Linked DNA regions of Oryzias latipes. The protein of the gene in region 1 interacts with the protein of each later gene in a pairwise test. Links are inferred from orthologs where the notes say so. Each region holds a gene or a part of one and is shown on either strand. Other genes may lie near its edges.

The links.
Region 2: the proteins of heat shock protein beta-1 (region 1) and wdr83 interact in binary tests that used the Homo sapiens proteins (3 or more experiments, as listed by UniProt). The link is inferred for Oryzias latipes from reciprocal best matches to the Homo sapiens genes HSPB1 and WDR83.
Region 3: the proteins of heat shock protein beta-1 (region 1) and pelo interact in binary tests that used the Homo sapiens proteins (3 or more experiments, as listed by UniProt). The link is inferred for Oryzias latipes from reciprocal best matches to the Homo sapiens genes HSPB1 and PELO.
Region 4: the proteins of heat shock protein beta-1 (region 1) and fxr1 interact in a two-hybrid assay, tested with the Homo sapiens proteins (2 studies listed by BioGRID and IntAct). The link is inferred for Oryzias latipes from reciprocal best matches to the Homo sapiens genes HSPB1 and FXR1.
Region 5: the proteins of heat shock protein beta-1 (region 1) and ppm1a interact in a two-hybrid assay, tested with the Homo sapiens proteins (2 studies listed by BioGRID and IntAct). The link is inferred for Oryzias latipes from reciprocal best matches to the Homo sapiens genes HSPB1 and PPM1A.

The regions. Positions count from the first base shown.
Region 1 is NC_019870.2:13,682,183-13,685,351, forward strand, and holds heat shock protein beta-1, read right to left. Parts: upstream 1,780-3,169; 5' UTR 1,587-1,779; coding exon 1,214-1,586; intron 1,145-1,213; coding exon 1,081-1,144; intron 989-1,080; coding exon 829-988; 3' UTR 505-828; downstream 1-504. UniProt on the Homo sapiens protein: Small heat shock protein which functions as a molecular chaperone probably maintaining denatured proteins in a folding-competent state. Plays a role in stress resistance and actin organization.
Region 2 is NC_019859.2:27,121,505-27,125,330, reverse strand, and holds the end of wdr83 (WD repeat domain-containing protein 83), read right to left. Parts: intron 3,690-3,826; coding exon 3,641-3,689; intron 3,408-3,640; coding exon 3,281-3,407; intron 3,200-3,280; coding exon 3,132-3,199; intron 1,951-3,131; coding exon 1,842-1,950; intron 1,159-1,841; coding exon 1,044-1,158; intron 904-1,043; coding exon 748-903; 3' UTR 502-747; downstream 1-501. Other genes in the region: pspn (persephin), read left to right, coding at 1-33. UniProt on the Homo sapiens protein: Molecular scaffold protein for various multimeric protein complexes. Acts as a module in the assembly of a multicomponent scaffold for the ERK pathway, linking ERK responses to specific agonists.
Region 3 is NC_019877.2:7,509,317-7,512,553, forward strand, and holds part of pelo (protein pelota homolog), read right to left. Parts: intron 2,127-3,237; coding exon 2,066-2,126; intron 1,959-2,065; coding exon 1,797-1,958; intron 1,702-1,796; coding exon 1,655-1,701; intron 974-1,654; coding exon 900-973; intron 827-899; coding exon 755-826; intron 350-754; coding exon 275-349; intron 1-274. UniProt on the Homo sapiens protein: Component of the Pelota-HBS1L complex, a complex that recognizes stalled ribosomes and triggers the No-Go Decay (NGD) pathway.
Region 4 is NC_019862.2:18,754,723-18,759,029, forward strand, and holds the start of fxr1 (fragile X mental retardation syndrome-related protein 1), read right to left. Parts: upstream 2,812-4,307; 5' UTR 2,768-2,811; coding exon 2,717-2,767; intron 1-2,716. UniProt on the Homo sapiens protein: mRNA-binding protein that acts as a regulator of mRNAs translation and/or stability, and which is required for various processes, such as neurogenesis, muscle development and spermatogenesis.
Region 5 is NC_019880.2:12,126,108-12,130,160, forward strand, and holds the start of ppm1a (protein phosphatase 1A), read right to left. Parts: upstream 2,808-4,053; 5' UTR 2,511-2,807; exon of another isoform or gene 2,412-2,510; 5' UTR 2,394-2,411; intron 582-2,393; 5' UTR 565-581; coding exon 1-564. UniProt on the Homo sapiens protein: Enzyme with a broad specificity. Negatively regulates TGF-beta signaling through dephosphorylating SMAD2 and SMAD3, resulting in their dissociation from SMAD4, nuclear export of the SMADs and termination of the TGF-beta-mediated signaling.

The DNA.
Region 1 (3,169 bases):
TTAAAGAGAACTTTAAAGGGGGGGGAAAGAGCAAAACTAATTTAATTTTAAGTTTGTCTTTTTATTAATATTAGATTTGTTTTATTTTTGTTTTATATAACTTTGGAGTGCTGTCTCCATTTCCCCCAAATTAAGGTAGAGTTTTTAAGAGGTAAAAAAATTAAGTTAAGTCTTTAAATCTTTATTAAATTTGCAGTTAAAACTGTTTTACAAGGTAATGATATAATATTTTCAGAAACCTCGTACAAACAATATCATACTTCACACCGTTTTAAATTTAGTAACAGTAAATTTTTGCTGCACAGCTACAAAAAGACTTTTTTTGTCTATTCTTTTTTCCGTGTCCTTGCCTAAAATATTGATCCTTACAATATACTGTTAGTTATTATGGGTTGTAAAAAATTGGTGACCTCTGACCTGTTTTTAGGTGTAAGTTTTCATGTTAAAAAAAAGTTTGAGCTGCAAGAATGAATATTGTGACAAAACCACAATCTGTGAAAGAAATGTATTTTTACCAAATTTTATTTCTGTTTCATTGTGAAGGCTGAAATTGCATAATACAATCATTCTACAAGAACAGTAAGATAAAGACCAGTTTATAGTAAACAAAATTTTAGTGCAAAATTACAAAATTAAAAAGGACAGCAAGGGTTTGTTTTATTGGATCCAATACCATTTCTGCTTTTTATTAAGTTTAAATTAGATTATAAAAGTCTCAAATCTCCCAAAAAGCAAATGATAACATTAAATTTAAGCAATCTAGTCTGCTTTGTGTAATTTTAATAATTGCTGCTATGCACAGTTTGAGCTACTTTCTGCTCACTATGTTCATTTCTCACTGTCCTGTGTCTTTTTGGTCTGAACGGGGATGACGATCTCATTGTCCGGGCTGCTGATGGATGTTCCTGGGACGGGAGCTTCTACGGACAACATTCCTTCTGAGGACAGGGATGAGCTGATGTGCTGCAGATTCACCCCTTGTGGTAACCTCGAAAAAAATGAGAGAACGTTTGTCACAAACAGAAATATGTTACGGTCGCATCCTAAATGTGTCTCGAATTTGCTTCTCAGCCTCCTTACTTGTATTTACGAGTGAAACATCTTGAAACCAAACTGTGTTCATCTTGCTTTTCTTCATGAGTTCCTTAAAAAAAACAGTAATTATTAATAAACATCTTTATGTATAAAATGAAAAAAAATTAAGCCTACGTACCTGATATTTGCAAGTAGCCATCCTTTGTGCTGATGGAGATCTCTTCGGGTGAAAAATGATTGACGTCCAGGTTGATCTTCCAGCTGTTTTGCCCCGTTCTCACCTCAGACACACCGCTAGTCAGTTGTCTCAGACTCTTCTGGTCCGGCGTGATGGGAGGCAGGAGGGGGCTTTGCGTGTAACCCGGCCAGGAGAAAGAAGCCAGTCTCTTTTTTGCCCAGTCAAGCCAGTCCAGATCATTGGGCTCCAGGAAAGGAGGAATGCCGAAGTCCTGGGCAAAAATACGGCTTGGCTGAGTCCAGTTTGGGAAAGGATCCCAGCGGACATCTCGACGGAATATGGGCCGGGATAGTGTTTTATTTTGATCACCCATGTGGTTCAAAACTCAAGAAAAGGAGACTGAAAATAAAAGCTCTTGCTCCCACCTGACAGAAAAATGCAAGACGAGATCAGACCAACCAAAACGAAACTCAAAAACTGTAAGTAAGCAGGAGGTTTGGGGAAAAGCCTATTTTGGAGTCCGCAGCAATCCACTCACACGCTTTATATAACCAACGGCCTCCTCTTCACACTTGTGCTTTAACAAGTGTGATGTAAGGGATGAAATGTGATGGGCCGGGGCGTCAACTCTCCTGTTGCCCTGGGACTCGGAGAGGACAATGCCAATTATGTGTATTTATATCTTTTGAGTGTCTCCGGTAAGTTGTTGGGGAATGATTCTGGAAGCAGGGAGAAGTCGTGTCATTCAGCCATGGCCTCTGCAGTCCCGTCACATACTGGAGCTCTTTGTCCACCGAAACCACAGCTGCATGTGAAGCAGCACACAAAAAGTCAAACGGTAAACACAAGCGTTGCTTTTAGCCTCCCAACTTAACTTAAGAGCAAAACTGCAGAGCAAACAGGATCTCAGGGTGAAGAAGATAAAGACGTGTTTACAGCTGGTAAAAACAGATGGAGAGAAAGACTATGGAGTTCTGGAGCTGGTGTGGAATTTCACAGAAACATCTTCATGGGTTCAAAAAATAAACCGAGCTTGAGTGAGATAAATTATCTGAGGAATGGCATTTATCAGGGAGGCAACGTGAATATTTCTGAACTCTGCTCATAAACATTTCATTGTTTATCAGGTTTTAATGTTTGACACACCAGGTTACAACAGACTTGATGTCAGTCTGCTTAAGAATGTTATTAAGCACATGTTAAAAGAAAATATTGCCTGAAGTTTAGCTGTGCTATTGCTAGTTTACTAATGAATATAAAAAAGTCTAAAGTGTGCAATCAATGAAAATATGAGCATAGATCAGTTTAAAGGTGTTTTAGGGTCATCGAAAGGAAAACGCTCTTCAGTTGTAAATCCAAAAATTCTTGGAAATAACCCAGAGTTAATGTGTGTGATAAGAAACCAAATAAAGTGAATATACTGTAACATTTTACTGTAGCTCACAAGTGCATTGGCCTCTGTAAAATAGTGTTATCATCCAGCTAATATGTATTTGTGCATTTGTGTGCAATACTTATGGTTAAGGTTAGGGTCAAAGTAAGGGCAAACTTCACTAAAGTTTATTTTACAAGCTTTGCATAAGTGTCTTAAATTGCAGAGTGTAAAAAAACTGGTAGATATACATATAGCAGCCAGATGCTAATGATGTGATGGATTGGCAATGTGCAAATACCTATTTTGATGTCAAACATTAGATGGAATCCGTTTTTTATCACTTAAAAATTAAAAAGAATACACTTTCTACTAATCAAAAAAAGGCCAAAAAAAAAGCTGGAATTTTAAAGGTTAGTGCATCAATACAATGTTATGATTTTATAAAGGAAATTTTCATTTGAATTTGAACTTCAAACCATCAGAAACTAACTTATTTTATTCTATCCTGTGTTTTGTGTTTTCCCAAAATTCAAAGTCACCAGAAAGTTTAAGTTATTAACAGCCACAGCTGTTTGTTTTGC
Region 2 (3,826 bases), on another chromosome or scaffold:
CTGTCTGCTGCGGGCTGCAGCTGTGTGGGCTAAGACCGTTGGACAATGAGTGGGGAGGTGAGAGGGCAGGTGCTCAAAACTAAGATGATATTAAAATGTTACTTTTTCGGCCACTTTGGAAGGAAAATCTGAGGAATTCGGGTCAGACAGACGGCCTGACAAAAGAGCTGATGACCAGAAAGACTTTTTAGTTACATTTTGGCACATTAAATGAGGGTTAGTGGAAACATGATAATGAAAAAAAACACTTGATTTTGTTTGAATAAAGAAAAAAAACTTGATGTAGAATGATGAAGTATTAAGTTAAGCTCTCCAGTGTAATCTTGAAGCTATGAAACCGTGGTAGTGTTTTAAAAAATGTTGTAGACTTAGTCTTTGCTGGAAAGACTTAAAAAACAACAAAATATTTTTGTAAAATAATTCTATTTATTTATTTAAATGTTTTTGGACTTGCGGATTAATTTATTTTCTACAGTGTGTGTAGAGTCCATAAAAATAAACTTTTTTTTACAGTCTTTGTGAGTCTGTTTAATGTACAAAATATCTCAAAAGTTACTCAGCCAACATTTACAAAGTTATTAGTAAAGCTCGAGTCCAATAATGTTTGTCAGGAGAGTAAAAGCTCCCCAACATCCAACAGTTGAAAATCGACATTGTTTGAAACTCTGCAGCAGCTGCATGTGTGCTGATGCAAAAACTGAGCGCTGCAGTCAAATACACAACTGTGTCGTGGCTCCATTCATGCTTTTATAAGAGCGGCGCTTCATCCTCCGTCTCCTCTGGCTCTGCACTCCACACCTGAACACGGCCCTCCATAGCTGTGAGAAGGCGGGTCTCTGATGGATGGAAGGACAAGGACTGGACAACTGCTGTCCCCACCAGCAGCTTCAAAGACAAAGAACCCTTAAAGTGTAGGAAAGAAAAAAACAAGCTTTTTGGGATTCTTTTGTTTCTACTTTAATGTGCTATTAGATTGAAAAACTACTGCTCATATTTGATCAAATACAGCAGTGGGAAATGCGGTGACTCTGATGAACACTCACCTCCACCAGGTCCCAGCAGTACACATGGCCGTCCTCTGAGCAGCTCAAGACGTGTGTGTCTCTGTTCGACAAACAGCAGTCCAGCTTGTAGCCCTTCATCTTGTGGCCTTTATATCTACACCAACAACCATCAGTGACACATCACAACAAAGAATTTACTTCACGGCAATGTTTGTAAAAAACAAAATATCTTGTTCTTAAACACCTGGATAAATAAAGGTACTACTATTACAACCTAAACACAACTTTTCTCAATTCAGAAATTCTGCTTCAGATTTCACACAAAACTTTAAAAAAATCATCAATCCCCCACCCAGCCAACCCGAGCCGGACACTTAAAAGTCCTGATGCAAGTTGAGCCCCCGTCAGAAATGATAATCAGTGTCTCACCTGCCAAAGTGGCTAGTGAATTTATTTTCCTACACGCCAAATTAAGGTTTTATGTGCATTTGGTGAGTGGCTGGGTTTAATTTTAAAGCCCTGGAAGAAAATATACATTAAACCAACTCTGTTCCAAAATTATATAATTTAGCATCTACTTAAAAGCAAAAACACAAAATACATTTCAGGGGTTTAAAGTGTGTCATTGATAACAGCAAAAACAATTTCCAGTTGTAATTTCATGCAGTTTTTCTAAAACATTGGTTCTTAGTAGATTTTATTATTTTTACATTACTTTTATTCTTAATTTTACTTTTGAAAGATGATTTATAAATGAGTGTTTGTTAATTTTATAATGTCATTATTTGCACACTGACAAAAACACTGTGGACGTGAATTCTGTTTTTTGGAACTCACTCTCCCAGCATTTCCCCCGTGCTTTTGTCCAGCAGTCTAACTGCAGAGTCCAAGCTGGAGCTCAGGGTGCACTGACCATCTTGACTGAAACACACACAGGTGATGGGACCTGGAACGTACAGACAGAAACATGCTTAATATAGAAAAGTGTAACGTGTTCGCTTCTGCCTTAGCCACAACTGCCCTTATGGGTAGATATGGGCTGTCTGTGGGCAAAAATGGTCAAACCTGTACAGGGAATACAGGTGGCCCATTGGAAATTTTAATTTAATTTTTAAGTCGTAGCAAACACTTATTCAACATGTAAGGGTAAGTGAGTGGGTGAAGTAATTAAAATGCGGATGTTGTTGGAAATGAAGATAATACATACGTACAAACAAAACACATGCACATCTCGTGCAAGCAGCATTTGCAAGCAGCATTTGCATGTGGTCAGTACTTACTAATGACTAGACTCTGTCATGATGCTGTCGTGTGGTTTCACTAGAAAGGGCACCACACGACAGCATCACCAATACATCATAGGTTACTGCATCATCTTTAGGACGGCTCCAGGCTGTCCAGAACGCTGCTGCAAGGCTTTAACTAAATCATCTAAGTGTTCACACGTCACCCCGTTGTTAATCCAGCTGCACTGACTCCCCATCCGCTACCGAGTGCATTTTAAAATCCTGGTTTTAAGATAAACAGCTCTTAATAGCCAAGCACCGGTCTACTTAAAAGACCTTTTGCAGCCGTACACCCCCAGCAGGTCTGCTGGTTGTTAAACGAAACCGGTTAAAAACTAAAGGTGCTAAAAACCTATCTTTTTAAAATTGCTTTTTCTTAATTATGTTTTAGTTTCTGCGTTTTACTGTGTTTTACTGTGTTTTATTGTGTTTTATCGTATTTTACTGTTTTATTGTGATTTACTGTGAAGCACTTTGTGATTTTTATCTTGATAGGTGCTATACAAATAAAGTGTATTATTATTAGTAGTATTATATTATTATTATTTTTATAGGTGCGTGCAACTTACATTATCTTTACAAATACTTCAGGATACACTTAACACAGGCCGGCAATCGTACATTCTGAACGTACAGGACTGCAGGACTAACCTGCGTTACCTGTAACATGCGGCCGCACCTGTCTATGACACTCCACGTATCCAGACAACCCAAACACCTGCATCACCCATATGGCTGTATGTGACTAAGGCATTAACTTACCACATTTACCTCAACAAACTGAACTGCAATAAACACAGAATCTTTTGCAGTTTCTGTAAAAGAGAAAAAAACCTCTTACTGTCAATAAAGTCCACATGCAGCTGTCCCATTCTCAGGTCATAGCGCCTCACCCTGCCATCCACTGACCTAACCAAAGACGTTTTCTAGGGTTAGTAAACGGTTGACTTAGGTGATAATCATGAGCTTCTGTGATCATTCTTGGCTGACCCAGTGAGCAGCTCATGCTGAACCACTTTGAGGCTGCTGATGCCGTCACGAGCCTCATCTAAGATCTGGATGGGCTCCGATTTTCTTGATCGGTTGTCCCAGCACCTCACTGTCCCATCTATGGATCCTACGTAAAGTGAGAACAAGCAGCATGTGACAATGAAATGGGGGGCAAAAATACGGGTATAACATTAATTTTGTTGTATTTGTTTGTTGATTATGTTTTTTGCTTTAAGGTCACTCCTCTAAATTCTCTTCTCTTCTCTTCAGCACTTTGGGGCAACAGAGAACAGCTGTCTGGTGCTGAAATATTGCGCTGATTGTTAAACTACAGTTGTGTACCGGTAAGTGATTTCTTACCAGACAAGGTGACAGTTGCCTCCTCATTGAACTGGACACAGTTCACTTTCTGCAGAAGGAAGGATGAAATAAGACATTACAAATGTAAAGAGGGAAGCAGGAGTATGGAGAGACCCCTAAAGGCGAGAAAACTGTGTTTCAAATAAACCAAAAAACAAACAAAAAATTACGATGGAACAGTAAAGT
Region 3 (3,237 bases), on another chromosome or scaffold:
CAGGAATGGATGGACCAAAGTCCAAGTGTCCTAGTATCATTTTATTATTGTTTAGGATTGTTTTGTTCTCAAATTCCTAATTTTTCAGTAATTTTTGAGCAGGTTTTTAGGAACTTCCTATGTTTTCCTTTTCCATTTTGTTACACATAGAACAGCTGAAAATAAAAGAAACCACTCTAAAAACAAAGTGGGGCTTGAACATAAAACCAATGTTGCAGATAAAATTCAGAAATGCTGGAAGCAGAAATATTAGTGTCCTTGAATCAAAAGTTACCTGACAGTTCCTCCGTTGTCTCTCACGCTGTCAACAAGCCGGACGTAACGACTCCTGGTGGGAACGTCCTGATGCCTGCAACCAAAAAAAAAAAAAAAAAAAAATCAGACTTAAAGTGGGTCAGGAGGTTTAGCAGGTCGTCCAATATTCGAAGGGTCGGCGGTTCGATCCCTGCTCCCCCCAGTCATTTGTCGTTGTGTCCTTGGGCAAGACGCTGCCTCCAGTGTTGCTCCACTGGTGTGTGAATGCGTATGAATGTCCCGGCGATGGTCAGAGGGACCATAGGCGCAAACTGGCAGCTACGCCTCTACTAACACCAAGTATACATGAGTGAATAAATAATGGACACATTGTAAGCGCTTTGTGCGTCTGGATAAATCTAATCCATTATTATTATTATTAAAGGGTTAAAGTTCATTTCATACATTACAACTTTAACAGACAATATGTAACGTTTGTTCTGTATTTGGCAAAACTCACCTGAATAACTTATCGCTTATCAACAGAGTGTCAACGGCCAACGCGTCCGCAGCTTTCTCCACGTGAGCGACTCTGCAGTGAGAGAGAGAGGCTTGTTATTGTAGGATCTCTGTTGTTGTGGTTCTTCTGGTGCGTCATCTCTCACCCGTAGAACGCTCTGTTGGGCTCATGCTGAAGCATCTTGTAGAAGTCCTCCAGAGCTTTCACCTCTCCTGCTGCCTGAGGGTTACATGTAGAGAAAACCGTTTGTACGACTGAATAGGTCAAAAAGATTGGGTTCAAACCACAAATCCTCCCTTTGAGCAAGAGCTTCGACTCAATCAATTTGGCAAATTGTATTCTTTTTAATATGTATATTATTCCTACACCTATAACATCAAAGGATTGGCAAAAATAGTGACATGAAAAATAATATTTAAAAATATTAAACAGGTACAAATAAAATGTATTCTGTGGCTCTAAGCTCATTTTTTTTTAAATCTTTTCCTTCCGAATCCTTGGATAGAAAAAAAGCACTAAAAACTTTCAAACCTCCATAAATGATACATGTAAGAGGTACAAATGAATGTAACATAAAGAACATAGGCAGACAGCACTAAAATGTATATTAATTATTTTAAAAGATGCATTTTAAACTGTTAACTAAATTTGAAATATGTGATACATTAACAAGAATGTCACAAAAGTTCACAACTAGTTTAGAAATATAAATACAGTATTTTACTGTCATATTAAGACTTTGTATGTATACTCATTCCACATTTTCCTGGCTTTATTTCTGAAGTAATATGAACTTTTCTGTGCCATGACCCTGTGCTGTATCTCCCTTTTTTATTTCATCTGTTGTGTTTGTCTTCTAAGTTAATAGATGAGGCTGATGGATCACTGAAGTGCGATCACCTTGGTGTCAGAAAGCCGACTTGTCACAGTGGGGTCACAAAGGATTTCTGCAAAGCAGCAAATATTTAAATACACTTAAGACATTTTGGATTTATTTTCTTTATTATTTAATTTATTTAATTTTAGGTGAAGGAGCTCCTACCTTTGAGTGAATACTTATGACCTGATGATGAGTGGACGAGCATGAATTTGGGCCGGTTCTCCAGCAGGAGCTTGTTGTCCTGCCGCACGGCTTCCTTGAACATGTAGGAGATGAACTGGTCCTTCACAAAACCAGGACTGCCAACCAGGATACACTTCACCACTAAACACAGGAAGGAAAGAGTTCCAATAGACACTCATTTCTTTCTCAGACAACCTGTAAATATAACAAAAACACTGCATTTCTATTACTGTGTGCGACTGTCTTACCATCAAAATTGATGTGGCGGAGGATGGCCTGCATCACAGCCTCATAGAACCTCTCCAGCGCCTGCAAACAGGTGAGCTTAAGGTCAAACTGCTACCAACCTACATCTGAGTCCCACTGATTTACCACAGAATTGAGGGGGTTGTATCTTTTTTTTCTAATCTGGTAAATGTGAACAATTTTTTTTAAAGATATCAATTATACTGATCTTATACAAACTTAAAAAAATACTTCATTACGCAATGAAAAGAGAGAATTTACAAGAAGAAAATCCTGATCATTACAGAAGTAACTTCACTCTAGTATTAGTTTAGTTCCTTCTGCATCTGCTTTAGTTGTATCGTACTTCAAACGTTGGAGAAAATGATTACGTCTGCATGCCTGAAGATGCCCACCAGAAAACTAACAGCAGGTTTTTTTTTTCACTATAGCAATATTCCAGAACAAAGTCCCATTTTCTTCACTGTAGTTCAGGCTGAGGTTTCACTAATCCCTCTTAAGTAAGCAAACAAAAATGAATTCAGGTTCAGAACCGACCACCAGCATGGTTCCGTTGGGTGCAGAATAGCAAACCATAATTTTTAGTAGTCTGATTTGCTTTTACACTGCACTTTTGAAATCAAACTGAATGGAGCGGAGCAGGGAGCTTGTGGTTTGCATGTTATATTTTGGTGTGGTGGTATTTTCTACATCACACCTACAACCTTTTTCAAACTGCATTTTTCTGTCTGCTCCTGATTCACAACTCTTTGAATAAAGAAATACTTAAAAATGCTATTTTAAGCTGAATTTTCTTTATCTATGTCATAGAAACATGTTAAAAACACCAACAAAAAAAATCAATTTCCATCTGAGTGGGTATTTAATTATAATAAGAGAATTTTTAGATGTAAAGTTGACATGTAAGTTGGGGTTAATTAAAAATCCTACCTATAACTTTAAAAATGTATACAGCTGCATGCTGTATTTCAAATTAATCACAAATGTACTTCCTCACCTGTCATCAAACTTAAAGCTATATATACCAATAAACATGAATGCTATGAGTGGCAGTCTTTTATGGTAAGAAGGCTGTATTATCTGGCTGGGATTCATTGTTGTTTAATGGGAAGTGCTGATGTGTTGTTCCTGGTTACTGTCAGTCAGTCATAAGTTTGCTCATATTCATCACAAT
Region 4 (4,307 bases), on another chromosome or scaffold:
TCTTCCGATCATAGGTCAACCGCCCTACCACTGGACCACAGTCGCCATTAACGCCACATGAATGGTGAGATTTTGGGCAAAGTCGTCCTTCCATCAACATCATAATTGACTATTAAATATATCTGGATCCATCGGCCTGTCAATGCCAAACACGTGGCCCAGGCAATAAAGGAGTGGCTATGTAAAAAGTATCTCAACGTTCTGGAGTGGGTTAGTCCAATAGACCCAACCCAATACAGAATCTTTGGAATGAGTTGAAAGTCTTTGTTGCACAGTGACAGCCCCAGAACATCACAGCTCTTGAGAAGATCTACACTGACAAAATGTGTATAAATATCAGCTACAGTGCTTACCAACCTGCAGAAGACCTACAGGAAACATTTGATATCCATCATTGATAACAGGATTACAAAAAGCATTGAGGTGAACTTATGACTTTTCTCATCTTTTTAAGAGGGACAACTTGCTCCCAACTACCAAATAAGTTTTTGCCTCACTGTACATAGTCCAAACTTCTGAGAACAGTCCTCCCATTTGTTAAAAATATCCTTACCAGAAACCCAGTTCAGTATACCTATTGGAAATGACAAGCTGACATTGAATCACTAGCTTAACATTTATCTTGTGTTATGTATGGGTTAACAGACTTATCCAACTGTTATTTCATGAGTGGTCAATGATTCCCCTTATGGTCATGTAATGATCAGGTGTGGTGCAGTTCCAGCTCCTATAGCAGAACTTACCATGAACTTTTGTTCAAAAATAGTTTCATTTTTTTCCTTGCCTTTCTTTATGCTAATCAGCATCTGTTTTTATATTATTATTAGATTATCATAGAAAATGCAACAGATATGTATGTTTCCTCTAGATTCAAAACTTAGCTTTATAAAGTGGTTTTAAGCATTTGCCTAAACCATGATGTGCAGACACTATCTAGATCTTCCAGTAAAGAAAAGTAATAAACCATAGGGTAGACCGAAGGGTTTCGTTGAAGTGAAAAAAATGTAACAAGCTGTTTATCCCCTTAATCTTCACATTTTACTATCAGAGAAGACATTTACAGGCTCACAAAAACTACAAATGCCATAAAGTTACATAGAGACTTCTAAATTTTAACTTAGGATAAAAGGACATCAGTTAAACAAAAAAACGCAAGAAATATCCGAACAAAGTAATAATGGTAAACCTTAAATTCTGAATAAAATCTATTTATGACCCTTCTCACTGTTTTGACTTGTTCAGATTAACATCAATGTTACCAATCAGCTTCCCTACAATATCCAGGTAAAGAGTAAACACGTTTCTAATTTCTTTTTTTTAGTCTAACTGACAATCAAAGGCACATGGAGATGCTCAGAGGGTGCTTGATGGGACTTCAAGATATTTAAATTTACCCAAATGTCCCTCTTCCTTTGTTAGTTTGCTTAATATTTTGAAGGCATGATAAAACTCAAGAAAGTAACTGTTGCATGCTCACTCTTCTATCATTACATAGTTAACTCTGGGCTGGGTCTAAATAAACTTGAATTTGTCCCGACTCAAATGAATCTAAAAGTCATTTAAAAAAACACTTTAAAATGATATAATGGGACCACTACTTCACTTTTTTTCCACTTACTGTTTACAGACTAACACCACAACTTACAATCTATCGCTTATGTTTTCACTTCTTTCTTTTCAGAGTTCAGAAAGTCCCTACACAAGTATAAAAGGAGTCGAGTTACAATTAAATAAATAAATAAATAAAAAACTTGTTTTGCAACATCTATAGTGAAATCAAAACCCATTCTAATTATTATTCCTAGGAGATATTTGGAATCACAGTAACAAAACTCACAAAACATACCCACAGTTGCTTGGTTTAGCTGTAATTTACTCAAGTGAAACTATTTTAGCATGTAGTGTTGGTTTACAAAGTGGCCTGGCAAAAAGAAAACATGTTAAACATTATGCTAGTAGTAGTAAGAAATTAAAATAGTAGATGGGGGGGAAAGGATGATGAAAAAGGAGACATGGAAGGAAGAAAAGGGGAGACTTTGGTGCCACTTCAGATTGCAGGACTATAAATACACTGTAATTCTTTGAAATGAGCGACCCTCTCCCAGCATGCCAGCTGCTCAGGATTGACAAGGAACAGCTGACTCGCATACGCAGAAATAGTAAAGATAGCTTGGGCATGATACAGTCTCAGTGAATGAACAGTGGCAGACAAGTGTGAAGAAGTACGCCACGTGCATAGAAAACCTAACGTCGAGATTTCAAATCCCTAATATGTACATTTAACAAACTCATCACGTCCTTATGTTCCATGGAGTAAAAAGCCCTTTAGCAACCGAACTAGGGCAAGAACCTACCTGACGTCAACAGAATTACCAGTGAGCTAGTAAGCTAACTTTAGCTTACGAAAACCCGAAGAAAAAGTCCATTGTGTGTTAAAAGATACACTATAAAACAAGTCAGCTGTCTTACAAAACGGATTATGCTTTCTGGATTTGATTATAGTCAATATAATAATCATAAATAACGAATGTTCACAATCATCGACGTTAGCCTAGCCTGCTAATTTTGGCTAACTCTGCTAAAGGCTTACAGCAAGCAGCTGGATGAATTTAGAGGAAGATGGGACACGTAATCAAGTCCAATGAACTTAGGTTATCATAGTAAACAATTTGTGAAAGACAGAAGGTCAAAGGTGCACGGATGCCCCGGTATTTACCTTGTAATAAGCGCCGCGAGAGCCACGGACCTCCACCGCCAGTTCTTCCATATTGGATACGCAAAGGATGCTGGGTCGACAGGTGTTCCATCAAGCCTGAGGTTTGAAGTTTGGGCCAACACCTGTCCTTTCGCGTTTTTGTGGGCAGATACTCCCAACTTTAAAATTATTAACTTACAGCCAAATTACATTTTTGGGTTACTGTTTGTGAAAAGGATCAACAAGGTTTTGGACGATTTGTTGTCCTGTTTTTTTTTTTTGTTTGTTTGTTTTTTAATGTTAGAAAGCTACATTGCTGTGTTTTATTTAAGTAATTTTAGTGATGAAGCAATACAATAAAATAGATCTATTATTTAGTGTGAAATTTTATGCAGATTGTAATATAGCTAGATATAAAAAAAATTTTTTTAAAGCCATTATTGGACTAGCTAATTTGCTTAAGTATTTAGTATTTTGAAATTTTGTATTTCTTTTCACCTACACTCATCAGGATCCAAATCTTTAATACAACAGAATGATGTGGTTCAGTCTAGTATCTTGCATTAAAAAAAGGCTGTAAACACAGCAGGCTTACAGCTTTGATCAGCATCAACTGCACTAAAGAATACTAGAACACAGACTGGAAATTTGATCAATTCTTTATTGTGTGCTTTCTGATTTCAGCTTAGAGACTGTGCATTATAAACAGTGGTGAACAAAATTGTTGGTACCCCTCAGTTAAAGAAAGAAAGCCCACAATGCTCACTGAAATGACTTGAAACGTTCAAAAGTAACAATATATTAAAATTTGTTGAAAATTAAATAATCAAAATCAGCCATTGCTTTTGAGTCGTTGATTAATAGAATTATTTAAAAAAACAAACTAATGAAATAAGGCTGGACAAAAATGATCGTACCCATAACTCGATATTTTGTTGCACAACCTTTTGAGGCAATCACTGCAATTAAACAGTTTCTGCATTTGTCAATGAGCCTTCTGGACCTGTCCACAGGTATTTTGGCCCACTCCTCATGAGCAAAGTGCTCCAGTTGTCTCAGGTTTGACGGGTGTCTTCTCCAAATGGCATGTTTCAGCTCCTTCCACAGATGTTCAATGGGATTCAGGTCTGGGCTCATAAAACCATCTCTAAGCAGCTTGAAGTTCCTGTGACGACAGTGGCACATATTATTCAGAAGTTTAAGACCCACGGGACAGTAGCCAACCTCCCTGGACGTGGCCGGAAGAGGAAAATTGAAGACTAATTGAGGAGACGGATAGTTGGAACTGTATCCAAAGAGCCCAGAACAACCTCCAAAGACATTAAAGGTGAACTCCTAGATCAAGGTACATCAGTGTCAGATCGCACCATTCGTCGATGTTTGAGCCAGAGTGGACTACATGGGAGACGACCAAGGAGGACACCACTGTTGAAAGGAAATCATAAAAAAGCCAGACTGGAATTTGCAAAAATGCATGTTGACAAGCCACCAAGCTTCTGGGAAAATGTCCTCTGGACAGATGACACAAAACTGGGGCTTTTTGGTAAGGCACATCCGTTCTATGTTCATAGAGAAGCATACAATGAAAAGAACACTGTCCCTACTGTGAAAC
Region 5 (4,053 bases), on another chromosome or scaffold:
CTGGATCATGACTGAGCCACCAGCATTCTGGATCCTTTCCTTCTCTAGTGGGTTGCTTGGCTTGTGATCCTCTGTGAAGAATTTCACCAATCCACTCCTGCTAAGGATTCCACGCGAGTCCCCACAGTTAATGAAGTACAAATGGCTTGGAGAAATCATCACCCCTACAGCGGTGGAGCCACTGCGGTCATTACTATGCTTCTTTTCAGACAAGTTTCGTATGTGTTCGTCAAACATCAAGAATCCAGAGCGGATGCCATCCTTAACTTTATCCACCGTGCTTTCAGATTTCTCCTTCAGAGCACTCTGGAAGCCTTGGCTACTAGTGATGTGCTCTAGCAGGTGCTCACAGCAGTACTTGGCCACCTGAGAGCCAGCATGCCCATCATATACAGCAAAAAATGACCAGCACTGAAGAGGCGAAGGCAAACTAACTACTGCTGTGTGCGCATCTTCCATCTCAACCCGCCATCCCTGCATGCTGCTCAACCCAAACCTTAGCTCGTTTCCCTCCCCAGAGTTGTTATGTTTTTCCATCTTTGGTTTGTCCAGAAATGCACCCATTGTGTCACCCTGAAAGCCTGTTAACAAAAAGGTAAAAGAAAAATATCTAGGTAAGACATTTCAGGAATAAACAGTCAAAAGCAGCAATCTGAAGAGTATAAACACCCAATCTATTATTGTTCAATATTCTAATAGACCTTGATTAATAGATCTAAGTTGTTATCATGAAGCACTATGGTGCATTTGCCATTTTGAGGAGTTGTCCGGCTCTACAAAATCGAGTGCCCCTTAAATTTTCCAGGTCTCTGCAAAAAACCAGTGTGCATCAATGCTCACTAGATTGGTGAATCTACATCACAATACAATGAGTTTGAACAACTTTTCATGTGGAAAAGAGAACTCTCTTTATTTTTTATAAACTATACAGGTTCCATAATCAGAACACAATGGATTCATAAATAGTCTTTGTAAAATGTTCATATTTATTCGATTTTTACTTCGGGAAATCGTTGAAACCATATCTTCCATTGCAGAAGGAAAAAAATGGAGAGCGTGGTGTCCGAATTGCTTTTAAAATCCAGGGCAATAGATAGTCTTGCACGGTTTTAGCAGTTGGGGAGCATGGAGAGAATTTAGACAAAACCCAGTTTTTTTTAAAGAAAAAATTGTTTTTTAACGTGTACAAGTATTAAAGTATGACCAACTAGGTTTCTTTACGTTTAATCAAAAAGAAGAACATTCATTTATAAAAACAACAAAAAGGAAGTAAAAACATATCTTTGCTGTAAAGCCTCACAGTTTGGATGAAATAAATTACCATAAAAATCTATACTGTGATTAATATGAACCCAAAACGAGACTAAATGGTCTGACACCATTCAAATACTTAAACACAATAAAAAATTGACAAATACCAATAACATTAAATCTTCATAAAGCAGCCTATAAGTATTATAAATATTGATTGTTTATGACATTCCGTGCTGCTAAATAAAAGAAAAGTGAGCAGTGGATTCTAAAAATAAATTATTTTTAAAATTGATAAAAATTTAAAAAACAAATAAAAACACATTTTACTGTACAAAATTATCATGAAATCAAAGACTTACACTTTACTTAAAGCCATGCAAATTTAAAAATGTTCACAGGCAAGTTACAACGTTTAGTCATCATCAGGTTAATATCAGGTCATAAAACCTAGGATTAGAATCTTAAAGCTGAGTTTAGGTCCTTACTCTGAAACATAAATAGAAGACCAGTGAATATGTTTTGGATATGTATTTAGAACGTTATTCGTTTCAAGTGAATTAAAACGCCTTATAGCACTGGTTTAAGTTCTAAGACAACGGTACAGAAACGAAATTATAAATGTGTCAATGCACGTTTCTGACCTTCGTATTTTAAACACCCCAGCACTGGTTAAACTGGTTAATTCAAGTAAAAGCACAGTTTGATGCCTAAAGCTAAATAATCCCAGCTTTACCTGTGTGACCAGTTTCTCAAAAAGAACTACCAAGCTCAACCTTTGACAAAATGTTACACTAATGCTAATGCTGAAGTTACATGGCTAGTTAGTAGCATGCACTTGCGTTGCTCAGTGCGTATCTGTTTTAAGTTTTAGGCGTTGGTTTACAGCGGGTAGTTAAATTTGTATGGACCGGTCTCATTTGGTACTCAAACACCCTTGCCTAATTGAGGGCCTTGACCCTTGTGCCCCAAAGCTAACTACAACAGCCTACTTTCATGTTTTGCTAAAATGTTAAAAGGCGAGCAAAGCCGTCGGCCTTGCTAATCTACCATCGGTATGCTAACTTAGCATTGATAGCTCACAACACTTATACCTTTAACAGTACTTTTGAAACCGAGTAAACATTATACGACTTACTTACCAAATATCAGGACAGCCGCTGGAAGTGAAAAAAATTGCGACAAAAATAAGATCCAGGAGATTGTAGTATTCGGCACAAAATGTACAACGCTAAAAACAGGGTTTTGCGGTAGTTTACCTTAGCTAGCTAGCCTATAGCTAGCAATAAGAAGTCGTCACTCAAGATTCTGTATAAACAGTGGTAATGCGGCGGTCCCCTTTTGCGCGCACCCGCAAAGCATCACATTATCTCGTGTGGCGAGTAAACAAATTCTTCAATTTTTCGTATGTAAGGGATTGGGAGAACGAAGCTTTGCACAGCTAAGCCCAGGGAGGCTGAATCGTCTATTCCTGTCTCTCCACTTGACAGGTTTGACAGCTTGCTAGCCACCGTTAGCTTCTAGGAAGCAACGAGTCAGAGGCAGGACCCGGATGTTGCAGGCTGCGTATTTGAAAAACATGACATCATTCCTGAAGAGATGTGTCTTGCTGCACACACATGCGCACAAAGCATTATACAACAAAGTGGGTTTTGAATTATGGTATGAAATAGAGGTCCGTACCAAAGAAATAGTGGTTAAAAAAATCTCTACATATTTCTAGTGTCGGTTTTCTCACCGCGGAATGGATTATAGATTTTAGACTTTTTAGATTTGTGTTAATTTATTGGTTCTATTGCAACATGTGAACTTACATTATTCATAGTAAGGAAAATTACACCCGTATGCAGAAATATACATTTTTAAAGGACAAAAATTAAATGTGAGAATGATGTGCTGACAAATAAATAAATACTGTTTTCCAAAAAAATACACATGAAAGGCTTAAAATAATAAAAAAAATGAAAGGTGTATAAAGATAATTTTTCTCCATTTTTGAACCAATCATTTGATCACTTGATTTGCAGAGCACCCTTTGTCATCATGCAGAACACAACGTGCTTTAAGTAAAAGACGTAAACAAATGTTACAACAGTAAGAAGTCGTAAACACGCCAAACTAAAAACAAGAAGAGAAACATTAAATAGTAATAGTGACTAATAGTTATTGTTTCAAGTATTGCTTGAGTTATTATTATTATTTTCTAATTTTTCCATTAGTTATTAATGCATTTATTTATTTATTTTCCCACAAATAAGATGGTAATGCATAGCTTGAAACTATATTCTTAAAAATTGTAACTTACCTGCTCATTAGTTGAATAAGCATTTTTTCAAATGTAGAAATTTTCTGTCATACACATACTGCCACAACAAATATTTACTGAAACATGGTGTATTTACAAAGGAATATCCAAACATAGCCTAAAGTAAGGAAAGAAAGTTGCCCATAGATGGCACAAGAAATTTATTGTAAAATGAGTTTTAATATAAATTGAACTGTCCTTTAGTTCAGAATGTCTGCAATAAAAGGAAGAAATTTTAATTTATGTATTTTTTAACAATGAGTGATCTAAATTTAAAGCTTTTAGAAAAAGATCAATTAATGCTTTTATTCATTATTTAAGCAGTGATTACTATTTCTTTACGTCCTTTGTCCCCCTGAATGATCTCTGCATCTTAAAGAATATACCCTAGCTGTTGATCACGTGCACTGGATTTTTCCTGTTCCATCCTGGAAAGTTTTATGATGTCCAAGCCTCCATTGACTTTTCCTTAAAGTACTGTTACAGGTATAAAAGGT